Linked DNA regions of Macaca mulatta. The protein of the gene in region 5 interacts with the protein of the main gene of each other region in a pairwise test. Links are inferred from orthologs where the notes say so. Each region holds a gene or a part of one and is shown on either strand. Other genes may lie near its edges.

Region 1 (3,511 bases), on a different chromosome or scaffold from region 5:
TGGAAACTCTCTCCCATACCACATACTGAAAGGCTTAAATTTCTTGAGCGAGCAGCTTAATCACAATATTGGTACTTCATAGTATAGAAGACCACAACGATTCAATGAGAAGTGTTTAACTACAAAATAAAAATCAATTAATTTTCAGTATTACCTCCTTTGAGAGGAAGAGGAGGTGAGGCTTTATCTGGTTGAATAATTTAGCTTAATTATTCAGTTTAATAATCCAAATGTGAGAAAGATTGTTAGTCTTTCAAAGAACAAAGTAGTTTTGAATTTTGCTCTGTAATAAGAAAAGTAATCAATATTTTCATACATTTTATCTCACAAACTCCTTACTTGGAGGGATCAGATATAACATCCTCATTAGTTTCTGGAATAACTGGGATATTTTCTTCATCTGCATTATCATCAGTAACATCATAAATAATGATGTCATCTGAAATCCTCTCCCTTGGCTTTAAACCTTCAGTCCTACTGTGTGGAACCTAAAAATTCAGAGAGAAAAATATATCTAAAAATCAAAATCATTGACTACCAAACAAGATATCATTTACAAAATAACTGGGCAACTACTACTTACTGAATCTCGGGGTATGCAAAACAAGTATGTTCTCTGCTCTTATGGAACTTACATACTAATTGGTACTAGTAGCACCAATTCACAGAGGTATGAGGTATATTAACTGCATTCTACACTTAACTACTTCTTTTACTGTAAGGGACCCTGAAGATGACATCCCTAAAAATGTTTCTATGGAAAGATCTTCAAATTTTACAGTATTTTTTATGCCTAAAGAGTAAAAAAGTCTTAGGACTTCACCAGAAATTTCAAGCACAACCAGACAGCCACCGTGCTGACAGGGATATTGTTTCAGCTCAACCTGCTCTGTTTTGAAATATGTTTTATTCTTATTCATTAAATAGCTTCACTAAGAGAAAAAAAATGCACTTCACCTATCTCAGTTACAGGTTAGCTTGGCTTTTTAGCAATGATTTTTTTAAACTTAATCTACAGATATATTCAGGCTATAGCTGTATAAGCAAAGTAAGTTCAATCCTGTAAAGCAAACTAAAGTCATTATTAAAATGCAAAAATCTGTAAATTCCAATACTAGATAATAAAGAGGCAAAGGATGTGAAGTACTTTAAAATATATAAACCCAGTCAAAAATGTAAAACTCTTCATCCACTTACATGAGCCTTCAATTCTAAAAACAAAATAGGTATGCTTGATTATTTTCTAACAGTAGTGGAAAAAGAAATCAGACGTGAGGTTAAGTTTGATTGTCCAAGAACAAAAATCTTGTTACTTTAATAATAAATCTGAAGAACTATTTTGAATTCTGAAGTTTGAAAGTAGTAACAAAAAGATAATAAAAACGATCTGGACTTTGGACTGGACTAATTTGCCACTGGATAGAAATCTGACAAATTATCCGGAAAGCCTGTGACAAAATGAAGGTAAAAATTTAAATTGCTGGAGTAAAAAGCAGTCTAGTTGGTGCACATTAATTTAAAAAAAAGTTGAAAATAAAATAACCAATGTAAGAATATATAATCACATTAAATTATTATATTTTCAAAATATTCAATTATTATATTAAAATGAATGAGCCAGGTGCAGTGGCTCATGCCTGCAATCCCAAAACTTTGGGAGGCTGAGGCAGGCAGATGGCTTGAGTCTGGGAGTTCGAGACCAGTCTAGGTGACATGATGAAAATCCATCTCTACAAAAAATACAAAAATTAGCCAGGTGTGGTGGCACACACCTGTAGTCCCAGCTACTCAGGAGACTGAAGCAAGAGAATTGCTTGGGCCCAGGAGGTGGAGGTTGCAGTGAGTCAAGATCGTACCACTACACTCCAGGCTGGGTGACAGACTGAAACCCTGTTTCAAAAAAATAAAACAAACAAAAAAAAACAAGACAAAAAAAAAGAAATGAATAAACTAAATCTCTATGTTTAATAAATCTCAAAAGCAACACCAAGTTAAAAAAAAGCCACACTGTAAAATGATATGCACAAAATTATATTATTTATATGAAGTTTATATATATGCAAAATAATACCAAGTACTGCTCCTGGATTCACACATACAAAATGGCCATGAGAATGATAGATACTAATTCAAGATAGTGACTACCTCTAAGGTAAGCAGGGACAGTAAAGAGGTGAGACAAGAGAGGGGGAGAGAGAAAAACTTGGAAACAGGCAACTGGAACAACTAGATTTGTGATGATTTATTTCTTACAATAATCGAAAGTAAATAATAAAAAATGTCACAGTTTAACAAAGCTGTGGGATGAACACTTGAATTGTTATTCACCACACTTATTTGAATGCATGAAACACTGCCATAATAAAATTTAGTGTGACACAATAAATATAAAATAGATTCTAACTAAAAAATTACTTTATGATGGTGATTATCAGTTGGTTCTTTGACTATGTGCTGAAACAGGTTCTTCTTTTGGGCTCCATTAGTGTTTAGAAGTAGAGGCCTGAAAACCAGAAGAATATGCAGTTCAGTGACAAACATACAAGGAATTTAAACTCCCTCTCTATTAACTTACCCAAACACACACACATGCACACTCACTTTAATAATGCATAAAAAGGTTCAGTAACAATAAATAAACTTAAAAATGATTACATCTTAGGAACAGAAACTGCTGGATGAGAATATCTACGACTTTCAATTCTCCATTTTTCTACACTCTTTTTGTTATAATAAACTATTCTCTCCAGTTATACTTCATTGCTTACTGAACTACACAACTCTATGAACTGTATTTATATAGAAAAAAACAGATAATATCATAAGAAATAATTAGTGGAAGTAGTTAAGGTCATAAAGCTCTGATCATAATCAAGTTTTCCCCAAATCTTAGTGTTACAGATCATTTTTTCCTTTCAACTATTCCTTTTGTCCATTATTCTTCTAATGTTTTCGCTGTGACGATAGTAGCTACTGACACAGGTATCACAACCCATGGTTGAAATACAGATTTAAAAAGACTATGAGCGGATTAAACTAAGAGAGGTCAAGTAAAACAAAGGTTGATGTTTTCTTTTGAACATATGGCCTCTTTTTAAATTTCCCTCACTCAGGCCTTCTAATGCTACTTTAATAATGTGAATGAAAAGTGAATATTCTTTATTAACTGTACGTATGTCTATAAAGTGACCATTTAGGCTATCCTTATCTCTCACAAACATCAGTAGAATGATAAAACTAAAAACTAATATCACTCTAGAGATTTTAAGAGTATAATTTAACTAAGGAGAATTGTTCTTTTGGGACAACAAGCATATACTCAGCTAATGTAGGCTACTCATAGTTAAACACTAACAAGTCTGACTGTCTATATACAGGCCATAATGCTATATCATAAAAACTTACCTTTTACGTTTTAAACTCACAAGTTGGTTATTCTGAACCAATGTAACAATAAACTGGACAATCTGAAAAAAATATAAACAAAAATTCTTTCATTATACTGTTAATT
Region 2 (4,190 bases), on a different chromosome or scaffold from region 5:
CTGAAGACAATGATATAGTGCAATTCCTTGAAATCCTCCTTGGGCAGTGGAAGGGTTCAGATTTTTTCCCTCCAACTTAATAAGATGAAGACTGAGAGTAAGCAGTATTTAAGAATACACAGACAGGCACACATATGCACTTGTATTTTAACCACCAGGGCCGTGTCAGTACAGAAAGCATTTAATAAAGATTTGATGGACCTACTTTTAGATGCTGAATTATGTGTTTTATAGTGGTAAAGATCTCAATGGCTTTGTCAAAATTCTAGTGAGCTTTTAAGTATTTTAAGATGCCAAATACTTGCTTTTTATTTGGAAAATGTTTACAAATGTCTTATGGGGATACATTTTTATTTCGAAATTTACTATGAATAAATGTTTTGCCATAAACAGCGACCAAAGGACATATGCTTCAATTTTTGCAGCAAAAGATTTAATAAGAGCAACTAAGAGGCAACTATTTAAATAATAATTATAGAATCTGCCCATAAAAATACATATAATACATATATTATAGAGAGACAGGGTCTTGCTCTGTCTCTCAGGCTGGAGCACAATGGTATAATCATGGGTTACTGCAGCCTCGACTTCCCAGACTCAAGCTATCTTCTCACCTCAGCCTCCCAAGTAGTTGGGACTACAGGCGCATACCACCACACTTGGCTAATGTTTAGCCACGGTTTCACTATGTTTCCCAGGCTGGTTTCAAACTCCTGGCCTCAAGCAATTCTCTTGCCTCAGTCTCCCAAAGTGTTGGGATTATAGGCATGAACCACTGCGCCCGGCCCCCAAAATAATTTTTGATATAGCATTGTTTTATCATTTTGCAAACATAGTTCAAATTAAATCTTCCTAATGAATGTATTACATTCATTACAATGTAATACACTAACTGCAAATTCCTGATGTGAGGGTAATTTTATTCCCATAAAGTTTAGTTTTCTACTAAAGCTTATCCCAGAATAGTAACTAACTTTCCCAAAACAAAAAACGTTATTTCTTTAGGCAAAGTCTCGCTCTGTTACCCAGGCTGGAGTGCAGTGGCAGATCTTGGCTCACTGTAACCTCCACCTCCCAGGTTCAAGCGATTCTCCTGCCTCAACCTTCGAGTAGCTGGGATTACAGGTGTGCACCACCAGGCCCAGCTAATTTTTGTATTTTTGGTAGTGATAGGGTTTCACCATGTTGGCCAGGCTGGTCTTGAACTCCCGATCTTGTGATCCACCCACCTCAGCCTCCCAAAGTGCTGGGATTACAGGTGTGAGCCACCACACCCAGCTGTTAACAAATCTTTTAACGCTGAAAAATACACTATTTGGGATGAGTCACCAGTAAAGTATAATTCCACATGTAATAGCATCAAAAATGTTTAGATGTTCAGGGTCTCTTCTAAAATTCTATCACTCTGGAAGATTAACAACAGTCTTACTAACTAACTTTACAAACGAATGAAAAACGGAGAAAAATTCTATTAAGGTACCAATCTTACTAAAATGAAATGGGCTATCACCTCACCCCAGAAAAAAAAAAGAAGACTGGGAAAACAAAACTTACAAGTTGGTTTTAAGGTTATTTCTAATACTCATTTTTCCTAATGACACTATTATATTGCCATTTACCTGGTTTTAAAACTGCAACTGTTTAAAGTGAACACAAGTGCTATGTTTTGTAGCTTTACCATATTAAAGTTCAATCTGTAACTTAATAAAATTATAAAAATAATTAAATTCATAACGCACGCACGGTGATCAAAATATGAGCACTCCTCCAAGCTCTGCTACTATAACGTTTGCTCCTTTGGGATCATAATGATCTTTTTCTTTTTTTTTTCTTTCCTTTTTTTTTTTTTTTGAGACGGAGTCTCACTCGGTCGCCCAGGCTGGAGTGCAGTGGTGTGATCTTGGCTCACTGCAACCTCCGCCTCCCGGGTTCAAGCGATTCTCCTGCCTCGGCCTCCAGAGGAACTGGGACTACAGGCGCCCACCACCACGCCTGGCTGATTATTCGTATTTTTGGTAGAGATGGGGTTTCACCATGTTGGTCAGGCTAGTCTCGAACTCCTGACTTCAAGTGATCCACCTGCCTCGGTCTCCCAACATAATGATCTATTTCAAGGTTGCAAATATTTCCATTAGGCATTTATGGGGCGAGTAGGGTGGGGCAGATGTGTCCCGGACTGGGGCACAGTGGACAGGAAGTAACGGTTTATAACAACGTGAACGCTTCTAACGTGAAGCGGGCGCTTCAGAAAGCGTGGCCGAATCTGCAGCTCTTAACAAGCGGCTCGTTCCCAAACTTTAGCCTCAAGTCCCTCTGAGCGATAGAGGCATGCTACCAGTACGGGGGAAAATGAGATATAAGATACGCGCGAAAGGGAAAAACAAGGCTGGGCTGTTTCCTTCCTTTGGGGTCAAGACAGAGCACAGAAGGCCCAGCTCTGGGGGGTTGGATCACCTCCGGGGGGATGCTGAGCCGGGTGGGAGAACAAACAGCAGGGGGCCCACAGGAGGCCGGCCCGGGCAGCCTCGCGTCCACTTACCAGGCCAGGCCCAGGCACGTCCCCAGCGACAGCAGGCTCAGGCCCGTTCGGGGGTCTGCCCAGCCCCCGCCTCCGCCGCCCCGGTCCTCGGGGGTCTTCCCGCCCTCGCTCCGCTTCCCGGGCTCCGCAGCGGGGGCTCCCTTGGGCCCCGACTTCTTCCGGCTCTTCACCTCAGACATGTCTGGAGGCCCTAGGAAGTTGAAGCCCCGGGCAGCTTCTTCACCAGGGGTAGCAGGACGTGGCTGCCTTGGCGATCGCGGGAACCCTGGGCGGTGACCGCGCCCCTTCACAGACTTGGCACCGCCCAGAGCCCAGCCCCTTCCCTCTCCCCGCCATCCTCGTTGCTTCACTGAGTCTTTCAGCTACCAGCTCCAAAGTTCCCCTAGGAGAGGTGCGCGGCGACCTCACCCCACAGCGCCTTCCACTGCGATATTGCTCCAAATCCGAAGAAATTCAAACTCCCGGGCGCGCTCAGGCCGACGGGACCCGAGGAGGTGGGGCGGGACAAAGGGGTCGCGCGCGCCACGTCGGGCGCGCCGCCCCCGCCCGAGTCAGGCCTTGATGGGAACGCGGCCAGTCCCTGAGGCGAAGCCAAGCCCCCTCCGCGGGATAGGCGGGCACTTCTACGAGCGCGGGCACGAGCCGTGGCGGGAGTGCGCGGCGCCGGCGGCCGCCCCTTGGGGCTTCGGGTGTGTTTATTTGCATAAGCGGGCGCGCGCAGTCCGGGCTGGGTGGGTCCGGCGGGATTTGATTGCTCAGCTGTCCAAAGGTGGAGAAGAGGTAGCGAGCGAGTGGACGTGATTGCTCTATCCTGGGCAAAAGGGACAGAACCGGAGGTGGAGTGTCTGGGCAGTCGGCGACCCGCGAAGACTTGAGGTGCCGCGGCGGCGTCCGGAGTAGCGCCGGGCTCCCCCCGGGGTGCAGCCGCCGTCGGGGGAAGGGCGCCACAGGCCGGGGAGCCCTCCTCCCTTTGTGTCCAGGAGTGGGTTCCACCGGAGGGCGGCCCGTGGGCCAGGCCTCACTGCGGCGCCCCGGGACTGTGGGGTCAGACTGCGGTGGGTGGACGCCCACCTCGCCACCCTTCGGAGGTCCCTGGGGGTCTTCGTGCGCCCCGGGGCTGCGGAGATCCAGAGGAGGCGCCTGTGAGGCCCGGACCTGCCCCGGGGCGCGGGGTATGTGACGGGACAGAGCCCCACACCCCTGATACCCGGTGGAAAACCTCTGTTGCCGTTTCCCTCCACCGGCCTGGAGTCTCCCAGTCTTGTCCTGGCAGTGCCGCCCTTCCCAGTAAGACCTAGGCGCAAAGGCTTGGGTAAGTTGACCTCCTCGCTTTTCTCCCCGGGCCAGGTTCTTTGGAGGCTCGGTAGCTGGTTTCAGGGACTGATAATTTGAGGACATGGTATATTTGATAACCATCCTGCTCCTGTACCAGGAAGAGAAATTCTCTAACGAGGAAGTAGTAAACTTAGGGTTTTCATGGATGAACGTACACTGTGTTTTCTGTTTTACATCTAGGAAGAGTTTTGGCTTTTCATTTTGTTGTGGGTTACAAAAGGTTTTGAGACTTAGTTCAGATTATTTGTGCAGTTTTAAAACGTGTTTAAGATTTGCATATTTTAGTTTAACAGGACTAGGTGAAATTGGAAATTAG
Region 3 (4,236 bases), on a different chromosome or scaffold from region 5:
GCTGCCACTATGCAGACGGTGGGATAAGTGGTACTCCTAGAAAATCTCAGCTGGGGCTGGGCGTGGCCTGTAATCACAACTGTAATCCCAGCACTTTGGGAGGCCGAGACGGGCGGATCACGAGGTCAGGAGATCGAGACCATCCTGGCGAACACGGTGAAACCCCGTCTCTACTAAAAAATACAAAAAACTAGCCGGGCGAGGCGGCGGGCGCCTGTAGTCCCAGCTACTCGGGAGGCTGAGGCAGGAGAATGGCGTAAACCCGGGGGGCGGAGCTTGCAGTGAGCTGAGATCCGGCCACTGCACTCTAGCCCAGGCGACAGAGCCAGACTCCGTCTCAAAAAAAAAAAAAAAAAAAAAAAAATTAGCTGGGCGTGGTGTTGCGCGCCTGTAGTCCCAGCTACTCAGAAGGCTGAGGCGAATCGCTTGAACCGGGGAGGCAGAGGTTGCAGTGAGTCGAGATCGTGCCACTGCACTCCAGCCTGGTGACAGAGCAAGACTCCATCTCAAAAAGAGAAGAAGAAAATCTCAGCTGGAAATGGCCTCTATACGTATAAACTAGGGTGGCATTTGCTGGTAAAATTCCGTACCTATGGCCTCCTGGCTCTGTAAGCATAAACTATGGTAGCATTTGCTGCTAAAATTCAGTCAGTACCTAGGGCCTCCTGGCACAAGGACCACAAATTTACAGCTGTTTGTGAGATTCTGTTAAAATCTTTCCCATCTACTCTCCCTAAACCTGCTCTTTTAGATAAGGGATAAGATGCAGGTTAGCTCTTCTTTTGATTCAATCCGTATGTGTTTAACACCTAGCAGAAACAGTTATTTCTCTCTTTTTTTTTTTTTTTTGACATGGAGTCTGGCTCTGTTACCCAAGCTGGAGTGCAGGGCAAGATCTCAGCTCACTGCAACCTCCATATCCCAGGTTCAAGCGATTCCCCTACCTCAGCCTCCCAGGTAGCTAGGATTACAGGCGTACGCCTGTATTTTGTATTTTTAGTAGAGACGGGATTTTGCCATGTTGGCCAGGCTGGTCTTGAATCCTGACGTCAGGTGATCTGCCCACCTAGGCCTCCCTAAGTGCTGAGAATTACAGGCATGAGCCACTGTGCCTGGCCAAAAACACAGTTATTTCTGACGTGTGAATACCCTCCTTAAACTTGTTTCCAGTGCCAGTGAAACATTTTCCATAATTTTAGATTCCTTCTGCCATGCCATCAGAAATGTGGGTGGGGAGCTGCACATGTAATCCTGTTACCATCACCTGACCTTTTCCTACATTTCGAAAGAACATGTTTACAGAAATTCCAATTAAATTAAGAGACAATATTAGGATATCCTGAACTGAATCCTGTAAGTGTTCTACCCCCTTCGCCAAGGGGTAACATCATTACTCTGGAGACCTATGTTCTACACTCTCTTATTTCTATAGGGTCCATCTCACATGATATCAAACACTTAAAAAATGCATGGACACTCCCCTAGTAAACATAGATGGCTCCACACCAAAATAAAAAAATTGAAAGGATATTTAACATTTTGCTTTTGTAATTACCTAATTATAAAAGATAATTAGCTAATTACCTATGACTAATTTGTATAGTTTACCCCTGGATCTGATTTCTTAGCTATCATCTGCATATAGTTGTCAGGAATTCTTACAAAGAAAACTTAACATAAATGTAATTAAAATTTGTAAACAAATTCAGCTGAATGTTATGTCACATTTTACAAGCGTTTGATTATCATAAGTAATTGCAACTTTGCACTTTTTTTCCTATTTTCAAGAGAATATTTTTGATCCTAGCACTCTTAACTGTGCTACCTATTGGATAAGACAGCTCTGAAAGCTGTGGGGCAGTTTCTTTCGAAAGAGCTTCCTCTATGCACAGGTAATGCCGTAATAAATAAAGATCAGTGTGAGTCATTTTATTATGATCCATGTTGTAACTATCCATATTATCATTATTGTGTGCTGAAAAGATAACGATTTATCTTGGCAGTACCTGAAGCTTTCTTCAAAACTCAGGGTCCTTAAAGCTTAGTTCCTAGAGATTTGGGGCAAAAATTCTCCGGGATTTCCCAGCCAAAAAACCCTTAATTGCTACGATGCTGGCCTCCCATCCACGACAAGGGAAAGGCCTTTGTTTATATTTCAAATTTACCCCTAAGACGTTATTACAACACCTGGCTGCTCGTGACCCTGGTGGCGGCAAAACCCGCGCCACCATAGGCATCGCCCGCGGGCTCCAAACTCGTCAACCGAGGCCTGGAGCGAAGCCTGCAACGAGGACCTGTTCCGAGAGCGCAAGAAACAACCGCCGCGGAGACGCGCGCCGAGAACGCGCGATCGGGCGACGGTTCCCAGCAGGACGCGGCGGGAAACGCCTCGCGCGGCCGGCCCCAGACCCCACCCGCCCCTCGCGCGGACACGCGCCTGGCTCCGCCCCCGGCCCCGCCGGTCGCGCGCCCCCACCCTGGCTAAGACCGGCCCCGCGAGGCGCGCAGGGTCCTCACTTGTGGAAAGAAACGGGCTTGTCCTTGTCGTAGCGGTTCTTGCAGCCGTAGGCGGAGCAGGACTGCACCATCCTTCCGGTCTTCAGGCACTTCACTTCTGCCGCCGCAGAAGGCAGGGGAAGCTGCTTTCAGTGTCGCCGCGCTCGGTTGGACACCCTCGCTCTTTTGTAGCTTTGGCCAACAGTTACAGTAATGGTGGCCTCCCTCTGGGGTGACTAGTGTGCCCGTTTTGTTGTTTGCATTAGCAGAAGGACCACAGCCATCGCCCGTCTCCCATCTCCAAGATGGCGGAGGCAGCTTCAACCTCACCTCTCGCGAGGGGTGCGTCCCACTGTCTCTGATTAGCCCCGAGGTCAGAGGTAACGATTCCTGGGAAGCTAACTATTGGCTGAGGCCAGGTGTTTCCGGCGGTGGCTTCAGAGTTGCGGAAGTGGGCGGAGCCCTGAACTTCCGGTAGGCAGGAAGGAACAGCTTGCGGGGGAGGAGGCGCGGCGGGAGGCTGGATTCCAGGGGCATCATCCAGCCCGGGCTGTTCCCGTGGGTTAATTGATGCGGAGCTTTTCTGGGGCGGCTTACAGTAGGAAACAACTAGGGCCTCATGGAGAACAGGTGTAAAGCCGAGGTCGTTGTCTGATTGCGCCCATTTCTCTAAAAGGGCGGACACAGATGGTGTATGATTAATAAAATTGTGGAACCTTTTCCCAGAATGCTGATCTTTTTCCCATTACCTGTGTCTTCAGGCATCACAAGTCTCTGAGAGCCAACGTGACAGGTTTTTAGCAATGAAAAAAGACACACTCGCCAAATCATCTGAATTGCCAACGCAGAAGCATTATATATATGTATATATGTATGCATATATACGTGTGTGTGTATATATATATATGTAATTTTTTAAAAAAATAGAGGCAGGATCTCCCCACGTTGCCCAGGCCAGTCTAGAACTCGAGCTGAAGGGATCCACCTATCTCGACCTCCCAGTGGGTTGGGATTACGGGAGTTGAGCCACCAGGCCCTCCCTCCCCAGAAGCTTTTGTGAAGGGCTGTCCATTGCTGTGATTTCCATGTGCGGTGTTGCAAATAGGGAGCTGCTGCAGCAGTTTTCACATCTGAGAGAGAATATGTCAGAGGGGTTCGAAATAGAGCGACTCTGTGTTGAGTGAGGGCTAGGAAAATGAGGCTGGGACTTGCTGGGCTGCATTCCCGGAAAGTTAGGTGTTCCTAGCCTCTAGATGTATACCATTAAGGCAACAGATTGATAATGTTTACTAAACAGACCCAGACTTCGAAGTGTCCAGATATCTCGATATTTTGAGAACAGAAGCATTCCTAATTTTGCTTTAAAGATAATAATGGACTGGGCACAGTGCCTCACGCCTGTAATCCGAGCACTTTGGAAGGCTGAGGCGGGCGGATCACTTGAGGTCAGGAGTTTAAGACTAGCCTGGCTAACATGGTGAAACCCGTCTCTACTAAAAATACAAAAATTAACCGGGTGTGGTTGGCACATGCCTCGAATCTCAGCTACTCTGGAGGCTGAGGCAGGAGAATCGCTTGAATCTGGGAAGGCGGAGGTTGCAGTGAGCCGTGCTTGCACCACTGCACTCCAGCCTGGGCGACAAGAGTAAGACTCTGTCTCATAAATAAATAAAGATATCGATTCTTACATAATATAGTAATTAATCCTTTATCACAAACCCTTGTAGCACAGCACATGTC
Region 4 (4,038 bases), about 82 Mb from region 5:
GGGTTGTCATAGCAACAGTTCTTTGGGTGGGAGAACTAAGAAGAGGTTGCCACTGTTTCCCATTCCCACATATCCCAGTCTGGCTTGTTCACTCAACCTTTGAATGGTGGGTAGAGGAAGAAAGCAGGAGGGATGAGGCCTAGAGGCGGACTGACCTTGGCCTCAAGGGTAGGCCTCCCTGCTTTGTGCAAGGAAAGCTGGGAGAGGAACAATTGAAGGACAGTCCTTAGAGGGCTTGAACCAGTCCTGCCTTCATTAGCCCCAAGGGAAACCCCTTGCCCCACTGCTTGTCCTTCCTGGGTGCAACCCAGTAGGCAGGGCAGAGCACAGGAAGAGATTAATATTAATAACATCCTGTCCTGAGGAGGGAGAAAAATAGGATGGGGATCTCTCCTCGTTCTGGCCCCAGAAGGCTCCCTCCCTTGTGCCCTTTCTCGGGCAGCCTCAGGCCCCAGGCAAGCAGGGTCAAGAATACAGAGAGACAAAATCAAAAGTTAAATGCAGCCCCTTAAAGTTTACAGATCGTTTCCACCAAGGCAGAAAAGAGAGCCAGAGAGACTAGGCGTGGCTCTTCCACTGACTCCCTATGTGAGTTCAGAATCTGCAAGCATGTTTTATCTGTAAGATGGGAGAAATGATGACCAGTTTTCTCATTTCAATGACATAAAATGTGTTTAGACTATCTGGCACAAAGCAGGTCTCAAAGGTAAACATGCAAAGTGCAGTCAGATGATCTGGGTTCAAATCATGGCCATGCTTTTTGTGTGATCTTGGGCAGTTATTAAACTCCCTGTGCCTCTGTTTTCTTTTCTCTTTTCTTTTATCCTCCCTCCCTCCCTTCCTCCCTTCTTCCCTTCCTTCCCTCCTTCCCTCTCTTTTTTTGAGACAGGGTCTAGCTCTGAGCTCTGTCACCCAGTCTGGAGTGCAGTGGTGCGATTTCAGCTCACTGCAACCTCCTCTTCCTGGGCTCAAGTGATCCCCCTGCCTCTGCCTCCAGAGTAGCTGGGACTACAGGCATGCACCACAACACCCATCTAATTTTTGCAGAGACAGAGTCTTGCTTTGTTGCCCAGGCTGGTCTCAAACTCCTGGGCTCAAGTGATCTGCCTGCCTCAGCCTCCCAAAGTGCTGGGATTACAGGCGTGAGCCACCATGCCCACCCTGTGCCTCAGTTTCTTCATCTATAAAATATCACTTACTTAACATGGTTACTGTGGAGATGAAGAGAGTATCAAGTAAAGTGCTCAGCAAGCTGCCTGGCACATGTGCTGGGTGAAAGTTAGTTTTCAAAGCAACTAGACAGTCTAGGTAGGCTCTTACTAGGCCTTGAGCTAAAGTTTGTACAGCGAGACAAAGGCAAACCCCTGCTTAGGTGGGGACAGTCACAGCCTTGCTCTGGAGAATTTGGCACTCACCTCCAACCTTCAAGGCCAAGTGCACACTTGGCATTCAAGTCCTTCTCCCAGAGGGCCTTTCCTGGCTGCTCCACCCACCAGACTCTCTTCCCAGTCTCTCAGCTCAGGCATTAGAGCCCTGGCTGGTCTAAGAGCCCCCATGACTTCCTTCCCCTGCTCCTTCACAGACCAGCTTGGCACAGGCTGCGCACACAGTGGGGGTCCAGAAAGACTTATTAGCTGACATATTCACTGTGGGCTCCTGGTTGTAAGCCAGGAAGCTGATAGCAATTCCTCAGTTCCCCAGAACTGGCTGCAAAGTAGTGGCAGGTGTAAATCACCCACTTCACCGGAATCAGGGCCCTGAGGAACATGCCAGGGCCTTGGCTGCCCTTTTGGCTCTGAATCTAGACCAGCAGCAACAGAGAAAGGGGAAGGTTGCTGTTTCCTCTTCTCCCCAAGAATGTGCAGATGAGATCCAAATATCCAGTTTACCTGGGAGATTGGATGGGAGGAGACTGAGTCTGAGGTGAGGGAATCAGCACCAATGGTGCTGTTACTCTCTGTTCCTGCTATGGGTCTAGGAACTTTCCATTATTTTAAGTAGGGCTGGGGGATGTAGAGGAAATGGAGAAGGTTTTCAGTGCCCCTGGTCCAGACAGTTTACAGCAGATAGGCCCCTTTACCCACATCTTTTCTGTGCTGAACACTGCGGGCCTCACGGGAACTAAACCCTTTCCCGGTTAGCAGAAGGAGAAAAAACCGGTTGCCTTACAACGGGGACTGGGGGGGAATAGGTGGCCCATACGGGCGGGGGGAATTTGTGCTGCGTTGGGTTCTCAGTACTTCCCAGTACTCATCTCTCTCCTCCCAATTATTTGGCAGGAATAACTTCCAAAACCCACGGCTCCCACCCCAATTCCTCAGGACCTATCAACACCCCCACTCACTCTTGGGGGACAATTAATGGATGTCACTCCATCTCCACCCCAGCGTTTACGGATTGATCTGGGAGGGATTCTGAGCAGTTAGGTGGAGAGTTTTAACTACCTCCTCTCCAGCTTAACTCTGAGAGCATGAGTTCGTCCCTCCTGGCCCTAAACTGGGGACTCGTCCCCTTGGCCCATGGAGTCTGCACTCACCAGCTCCATCTTCAGCGCCATGATCTTGTCCCCCAAGTCGTGGCCGGTGCTAGGCGTCCCTGGGAGCAGCAGGGCGCCAGAGGTTCCTAGGTCACACTCGCCTCGCAGCCCACGGAGCAGCCCTTCAGGGGTCTTCCTGCCCACCTTACCCTCCACATCCCGCAGGTCAGGCGTCTGGGACTCCACGGTTCCCTCCATGCGGGCCCAAGCCTGAAAAGGGCTGGGCAACCGGACGCCAGGGACCGGCTCGCGGGGGTCCTCCCTTCGCCGCTGCTAAAGCGGAGCAAAACCGGTGGGTCCCCGCCCGAGAGCCGCGCGGGCGGCAGGAGGGTGCCGTAACACTCAGAAAAGCCGCGCAGCACTGTCCGTGGGTATATTCGAGTGCTGCGCACACAACCTCCGGCCCTGGATTGCGTGGGGCTGGGCGGTTCTGGAGTTGGACCTGAAAGAGCACTCGGAGACCTCAGCGCCTTCGCCCCACCCTGGCACTGAATCCAGCCAGGCACACAGCAGGCGCCCAATACATGTTTGCAGAATGAAGTCTAAGCAGCTTCAGTCAGAGATGTGGGAGTTTAAGGAACAGTGGTAACAGAGAGCTGCAGAAGGCTTGGAAGTCTTCCTGGAGCAGAGGAATTGGGTCTAAAACGATGGCTGGATTTTAGTCAGACACACACACAACACCCCAGGGGCTAGAATTCAGACTAACGGAGTAGAAAGGGGCAACCAGTATTGAAGCTGAAGAGGTCCACATTGAGCTTACAAGCAAGATCCTCCTCCTTAAACTTGACTGTGCATATGAATTATCTGCGGATCGTATTAAAATGCAGTTCTGATTTTGTAAATCGGGGTGGGGCCTGAGATCCTGCCTTTTTTTTTTTTTTTTTTTTTTTTGAGACAGAGTCTTGCTCTGTTGCCCAGGATGGAGTGCAGTGGCACGATCTCGGCTCACTGCAAACCACTGCCTTCCCCGGTTCCAGCGATTCTCCTGCCTCTGCCTCCTGAGTAGCTGGGATTACAGGCATGCACCGCCACGCCCAGCTAATATTTTTGTATTTTTAGTAGAGACGGGGTTTCACCATGTTGGCCAGGCTGGTCTTGAACTCCAGATCTCAAGTGATCTGCCTGTCTCGGCTTCCCAAAGTACTGGGATTACAGGTGTGAGCCACTGGGCCCCGCCAAGATCCTGCATTTCTAATAAGCTCCCAGGTCATGGCCATGCTGCTGGTCCACGCTTCAAGTAATAAGGGACCACACTTTGATAACAAGGTTACAGAAGATGGTTCTGAGATGTTTGGGTTTTATTTAACAGGTAATGAACAGTCATGAAAACTTTGGTTTGTGTAGGCTTGTAATTCAAGTAATTCCAGCCCGTGGTTGCAGAAGGATTTACAATGAGAAGATAGTTACCCCTGCCCTACCCTTTCACACCTCTAGGCCCACTCCCAATTGGCAAAAAGTAACTTTTAGTTTTTGGGGGGTTTTTTGTTTTTTGTTTTTTTTGG
Region 5 (4,218 bases):
CACATTCCAGCAGAATGCCTTAAGAGGATAACAGGTAGACCAAACAACCCTCCTCCCATCCCACAGGTGTCTCCTCAGTAGGGGTTCAAAATTCAGCAGAGCAGAAAGTCAAAAGATTAAGCTTCTTCAGGCTGGGGAGTAGAAGTAATGATTTCATCAATATTTAACTATTATCCTACTTCCCCATTCTGAGGACTTCCTCACTAGACCTCAGCTCAATAAGCAAATTTGGCAGGCTCTGAGTGAGAGTAGCTTAAGAAACATCACCCCAGGCCGAGTGCAGTGGCTCATGCCTGTAATCTCACCACTTTGGGAGGCTGAGGCAGGCAGATCACTTGAGGTCAGGAGTTCGAAACCAGCCTGGCCAACATGGTGAAACCCATCTCTACTAAAAAAAAAATTAGCTGGGTGTAGTGGTGGATGCCTGTAATCCCAGCTACTCAGGAGGCTGAGACAGGAGAATCACCTGAGCCTGGGAGGTGGAGGTTGCAGTGAGCAGAGATCATGCAACTGCATTCCAGGCTGGACAGCAGAGCAAGTCTCCATCTAAAAAAAAAAAAAAAGAGGGGGGGGTGGGGGGCAGGAACCACCCACCTTAGAACTACTCCTAGAATGTCCATATTTAAATACTGAGCCTAAGACTCTGCAGCTCAACACATGGCCAGTTCCTCTGGCTAGCCTGTCTTCCTCTTTAAAGCTATCTGGTCTCCAGAAGAAAGGAGATGAGAAAGTACCATTGGCCATAAAGTCACCCAGCCAGTCCATCTCACTTGAACAGATAATGAGAAGTTGCTGGCAAACTGAACAGAAGAAAAAAATCTACCTAGAAAAAGGTGACTGAGGAAGACAACAAGCTCCCATCCCAGCATCTCCATGCCCAGTTATAAAAATAAGTGAGTATTCCAACAATCTTTAAGTATTTAACCTAGAGGGCAGATGTCCACCAATTACCATGCTTTTCTGAAATACACCCCCTCCCTCCCAAAAACATTCTCAGTTATTTCCCAGAGGAGCAGCCAAAAAGAAAAACAAAAATAAAAACTTACCAAGGGAAAGAACAAAGAATAAACCACATGAGTTCTTTCACTGGATCTTAAATTTTAGCAACAGTTACTTTACTCTCTCAAGATCCTCTAAAACCTCAACTCGTATCAGCTCCATCTATTAGACAACACCCTAGACCCTGGAAAATCTTTTTTTTTTTTAATTGAAACAGTCTTGCTCTGTCGCCCAGGTGCAGTGGCGTGATCTCAGCTCACTGCAAGCTCTGCCGACCCTGGAAAATCTTATGGCTTACACTAAAATTAATCAACCTCTTTTAATCAGAAAGTCGTTTAAAGAAATCACTAGAATAGGCTGGGCACGGTGGATCACACCTGTAAACCCAGCACTTTGGGAGGCAGAGTTGGGTGGATCACCTGAGGTCAGGAGTTCGAGACCAGCCTCGCCAACATGGCGAAACCCCCGTCTCTACTAAAAATACAAAAAATTAGCTGGACGTGGTGGCACGCTCCTGTAATCCCAGCTACTCAGGAGGCTGAGGCAGGAGAATCACTTGAACCAGGGAGGCGGAGGTTGCAATGGGCCGTGATCACGCCATTGCACTCCAGCCTGGGCGACAGAGTGAGACTCTGTCTCAAAAAAACAAAAAAGAAAAAAATCACCAGAATCACCGTTCATTCCACCAACATTTTATGTTCCCACTTTCAGTTGAACAAATATTCCACTAGAGTCACCTGGAATTCATTATTCTGTCTCCACCAAATTGCCCAAGTCAATCAGAAACCTTGAGACTGGCACGCCATGTAATTCTCTGCCATACACTCGCTTATCAGCTCTGCTTGGAAGAAATGTTCTTAACCAGTTCGGCTTGCACTGATCACACTTCCAGGTCATTGTGGGTAGGGCCAGGCAAGTTTGGTTGGCTCCTATATTTGCACTAATGTTGAGAGAAGTACTATCCCCTCCCCTGCCGTTTCACGTAGATTGAGTGGGTGTAGCAGCTGCAAGAGCACCCCGTAAGAGGAAGGGCCCCTGGCCAGAGGTTGAGAGGCGGTCCTGTGGCCTCGAGCTCCTCCAGGGAGGGAGGGCACCGCGCTTCCTCTCAGCCAACTGCTGCCTCATTTCCTGAGCAAGAAGAGGGAGCGGAAAAGCTGCCAGCAGGCAGGCCGGGGTCTTTCCGGCGGTTCCCACCCCACAGCCCTCACCATTTCACAGGAGGCTCAGTACTTCCTCTCCCCGAACAAAAAAGCACCCACCGACTGTAACCCCTTGGGCAGGAAACCTCAAGCAAGAGCAAAGTTCTCCCACCCTCCAGGGGGAAGTGGGGGAGGGAGAAGCCGCTGAGCCCCTCCCCCGGCCGCGCCCGGATCAGAGGGACTGAATGAATGAGGTGGAGAAAAAAAAAAGAGGAGGAAGGCCACACCCCAAACCCTGTGCCTCAATTCCTTCAAAGGTCAAGCCTGCTCGACCGAGCACTCAGTTTCCCCCTCGTCCGCTTGCTGTCCTACTGGAGCTGAGCCCCACCCATCCTCCGCGCTCCCAACTTCATCTCCGAGGAGGCTGGCCCTCAGAGGACCATGCTCCACGGCAAAAGGGACCTTATTCCGCTTGCCGGCTACTCCAGCGCCTGACCCTCCCTCATGAGCCTCGCCATCTCCGTACCTGTTCCCGAGCCCGCCTTTCTCCCTCAACTTCTCGTTGGAGGCGCTCAGCTCGCTCCTCTGCATCATCTGCCTGCTGCTGCAGAACCTGGATCTTGCGCTTCACCGCCTCGATGGTGGTGATCCCAGCCATGGTGCCCACCCAGCTACTGCTCGCGCTCCGGTTCCTGCCTCCTCCGCTCGGCGTTGCAGCCTCCTCTCACCCTTACTTCCGCCTGCTACGCCCTGAAATACCGGAACTTACCAACCCGCCCGGATGTGACGTTCCTCTGCCGCGCCCTCCCACCGCCAGGCAGGCGGGAAGGCAGTCCACTGGAGGGAGAGCCGCGGCAGGGAGTAGATCCTCCCAGTTGCCCCGGGCTACTGCTCCCGGCCTTACCTTGGGCCAGTAAACTGGGACGGGGTTGGGACGAGGGAATGTTACCATGATAACTGGGCGGCGCTTCGTGGTCTAGCCTTTCCCGCCAGGCTGGCTGCCCACAATGGTTGCGCCCTTTGCAGGTAGTCCGCTGACCTTACACTCCCGCAGTTGGCCCCCACTCCCGCAGTTGGCCCCTCACTCCCACAATACCGATACCCCTCACCGCTCACTGTATTTGCTCCACAATATAAACATCCTACAAGTCTCTGCTTCCACTCACCCCACGACAAACTCCAAAACCAAGTTCTAAGAAAAGTCTAAAAGACTTTCTGGGCCTCAGGGTTCAAAAAGCCCCACTCAGTCTCCTTTCAAAGTCAACTCAGGTAGGTAGGTTCTCTCTCCCGTCTCCTGGAAGTCAATGAATGGAACTGTCGGAGTGGAAGGAATGTGGCAAGTTGGCACAAATTCTCATTCTATTTGGCATGGTATGAACTTAAGTGCTATTTGGAACAGACTTTTCCCTTTTTTATTTATTTTTTTTGAGACAAGATCTCGCTCTGTTGCTGGAGTGCAGGCGGTGGCCAGATCACAACTCACTACAGCTTCGAACTCCTGGGCTCAAGCGAGCCTCCTACCTTAGCCTCCGGAGTAGCTGGGACTACAGGTGCACGCCGCCCCATCGGGCTCCCTGTTCTTTTATTATTTTTGTTTTGGTTTTTATTTTTTGGGACGGAGTCTCCTCTGTCGCCCAGGTTGGAGTGCAGTGGCGCGATCTCGGCTCACTGTAAGCTCCCCCTCCCGGGTTCAAGCGATTCTCCTGCCTCACCCCACCAAGTAGCGCCCTCCACCACGTCCGGCTAATTTTGTTGTAGTTTTAGTAGAGACAGGGTTTCACCGTGTTAGCCAGGATGGTCTCGATCTCCTGACCTCGTGATCCACCCGCCTCGGCCTCCCAAAGTGCTGGGATTACAGGTCCCTGTTACTTTTGAGTGTCATTATGCACCAAATTAACCAACCTTCCAGCCCCTCCAAACCTTGGAATGATTCAGGACTTGGTAATTTAATCATCAGCTGAGTGTGGTAGCTCATGACTGTAAGCCTAGGACTTTGGGAGGCTGAGATGGGAGATGGCTTGAGACCAGGAGTTCAAAACCAGCCTGGGCAATATAGCAAGACCTCATTTCTAAAAATAAA

The links.
Region 1: the proteins of TPM3 (region 5) and HSF2 interact in binary tests that used the Homo sapiens proteins (3 or more experiments, as listed by UniProt). The two-hybrid records come from large-scale screens. The link is inferred for Macaca mulatta from reciprocal best matches to the Homo sapiens genes TPM3 and HSF2.
Region 2: the proteins of TPM3 (region 5) and IKBIP interact in a two-hybrid assay, tested with the Homo sapiens proteins (2 studies listed by BioGRID). The two-hybrid records come from large-scale screens. The link is inferred for Macaca mulatta from reciprocal best matches to the Homo sapiens genes TPM3 and IKBIP.
Region 3: the proteins of TPM3 (region 5) and THAP1 interact in binary tests that used the Homo sapiens proteins (3 or more experiments, as listed by UniProt). The two-hybrid records come from large-scale screens. The link is inferred for Macaca mulatta from reciprocal best matches to the Homo sapiens genes TPM3 and THAP1.
Region 4: the proteins of TPM3 (region 5) and LURAP1 interact in binary tests that used the Homo sapiens proteins (3 or more experiments, as listed by UniProt). The two-hybrid records come from large-scale screens. The link is inferred for Macaca mulatta from reciprocal best matches to the Homo sapiens genes TPM3 and LURAP1.

The regions. Positions count from the first base shown.
Region 1 is NC_133409.1:27,436,436-27,439,946, reverse strand, and holds part of HSF2 (heat shock factor protein 2), read right to left. Parts: intron 3,468-3,511; coding exon 3,406-3,467; intron 2,504-3,405; coding exon 2,416-2,503; intron 489-2,415; coding exon 340-488; intron 1-339. UniProt on the Homo sapiens protein: DNA-binding protein that specifically binds heat shock promoter elements (HSE) and activates transcription. In higher eukaryotes, HSF is unable to bind to the HSE unless the cells are heat shocked.
Region 2 is NC_133416.1:105,938,093-105,942,282, forward strand, and holds the start of IKBIP (inhibitor of nuclear factor kappa-B kinase-interacting protein), read right to left. Parts: upstream 2,807-4,190; 5' UTR 2,719-2,806; coding exon 2,540-2,718; intron 1-2,539. UniProt on the Homo sapiens protein: Target of p53/TP53 with pro-apoptotic function.
Region 3 is NC_133413.1:44,941,705-44,945,940, forward strand, and holds the start of THAP1 (THAP domain-containing protein 1), read right to left. Parts: upstream 2,809-4,236; 5' UTR 2,589-2,808; coding exon 2,518-2,588; intron 2,392-2,517; exon of another isoform or gene 2,238-2,391; coding exon of another isoform or gene 2,188-2,237; intron 1-2,187. UniProt on the Homo sapiens protein: DNA-binding transcription regulator that regulates endothelial cell proliferation and G1/S cell-cycle progression.
Region 4 is NC_133406.1:194,374,366-194,378,403, forward strand, and holds the start of LURAP1 (leucine rich adaptor protein 1), read right to left. Parts: upstream 2,801-4,038; 5' UTR 2,735-2,800; coding exon 2,537-2,734; intron 1-2,536. UniProt on the Homo sapiens protein: Acts as an activator of the canonical NF-kappa-B pathway and drive the production of pro-inflammatory cytokines. Promotes the antigen (Ag)-presenting and priming function of dendritic cells via the canonical NF-kappa-B pathway.
Region 5 is NC_133406.1:112,847,998-112,852,215, reverse strand, and holds the start of TPM3 (tropomyosin alpha-3 chain), read right to left. Parts: upstream 2,808-4,218; 5' UTR 2,797-2,807; coding exon 2,665-2,796; intron 1-2,664. UniProt on the Homo sapiens protein: Binds to actin filaments in muscle and non-muscle cells. Plays a central role, in association with the troponin complex, in the calcium dependent regulation of vertebrate striated muscle contraction.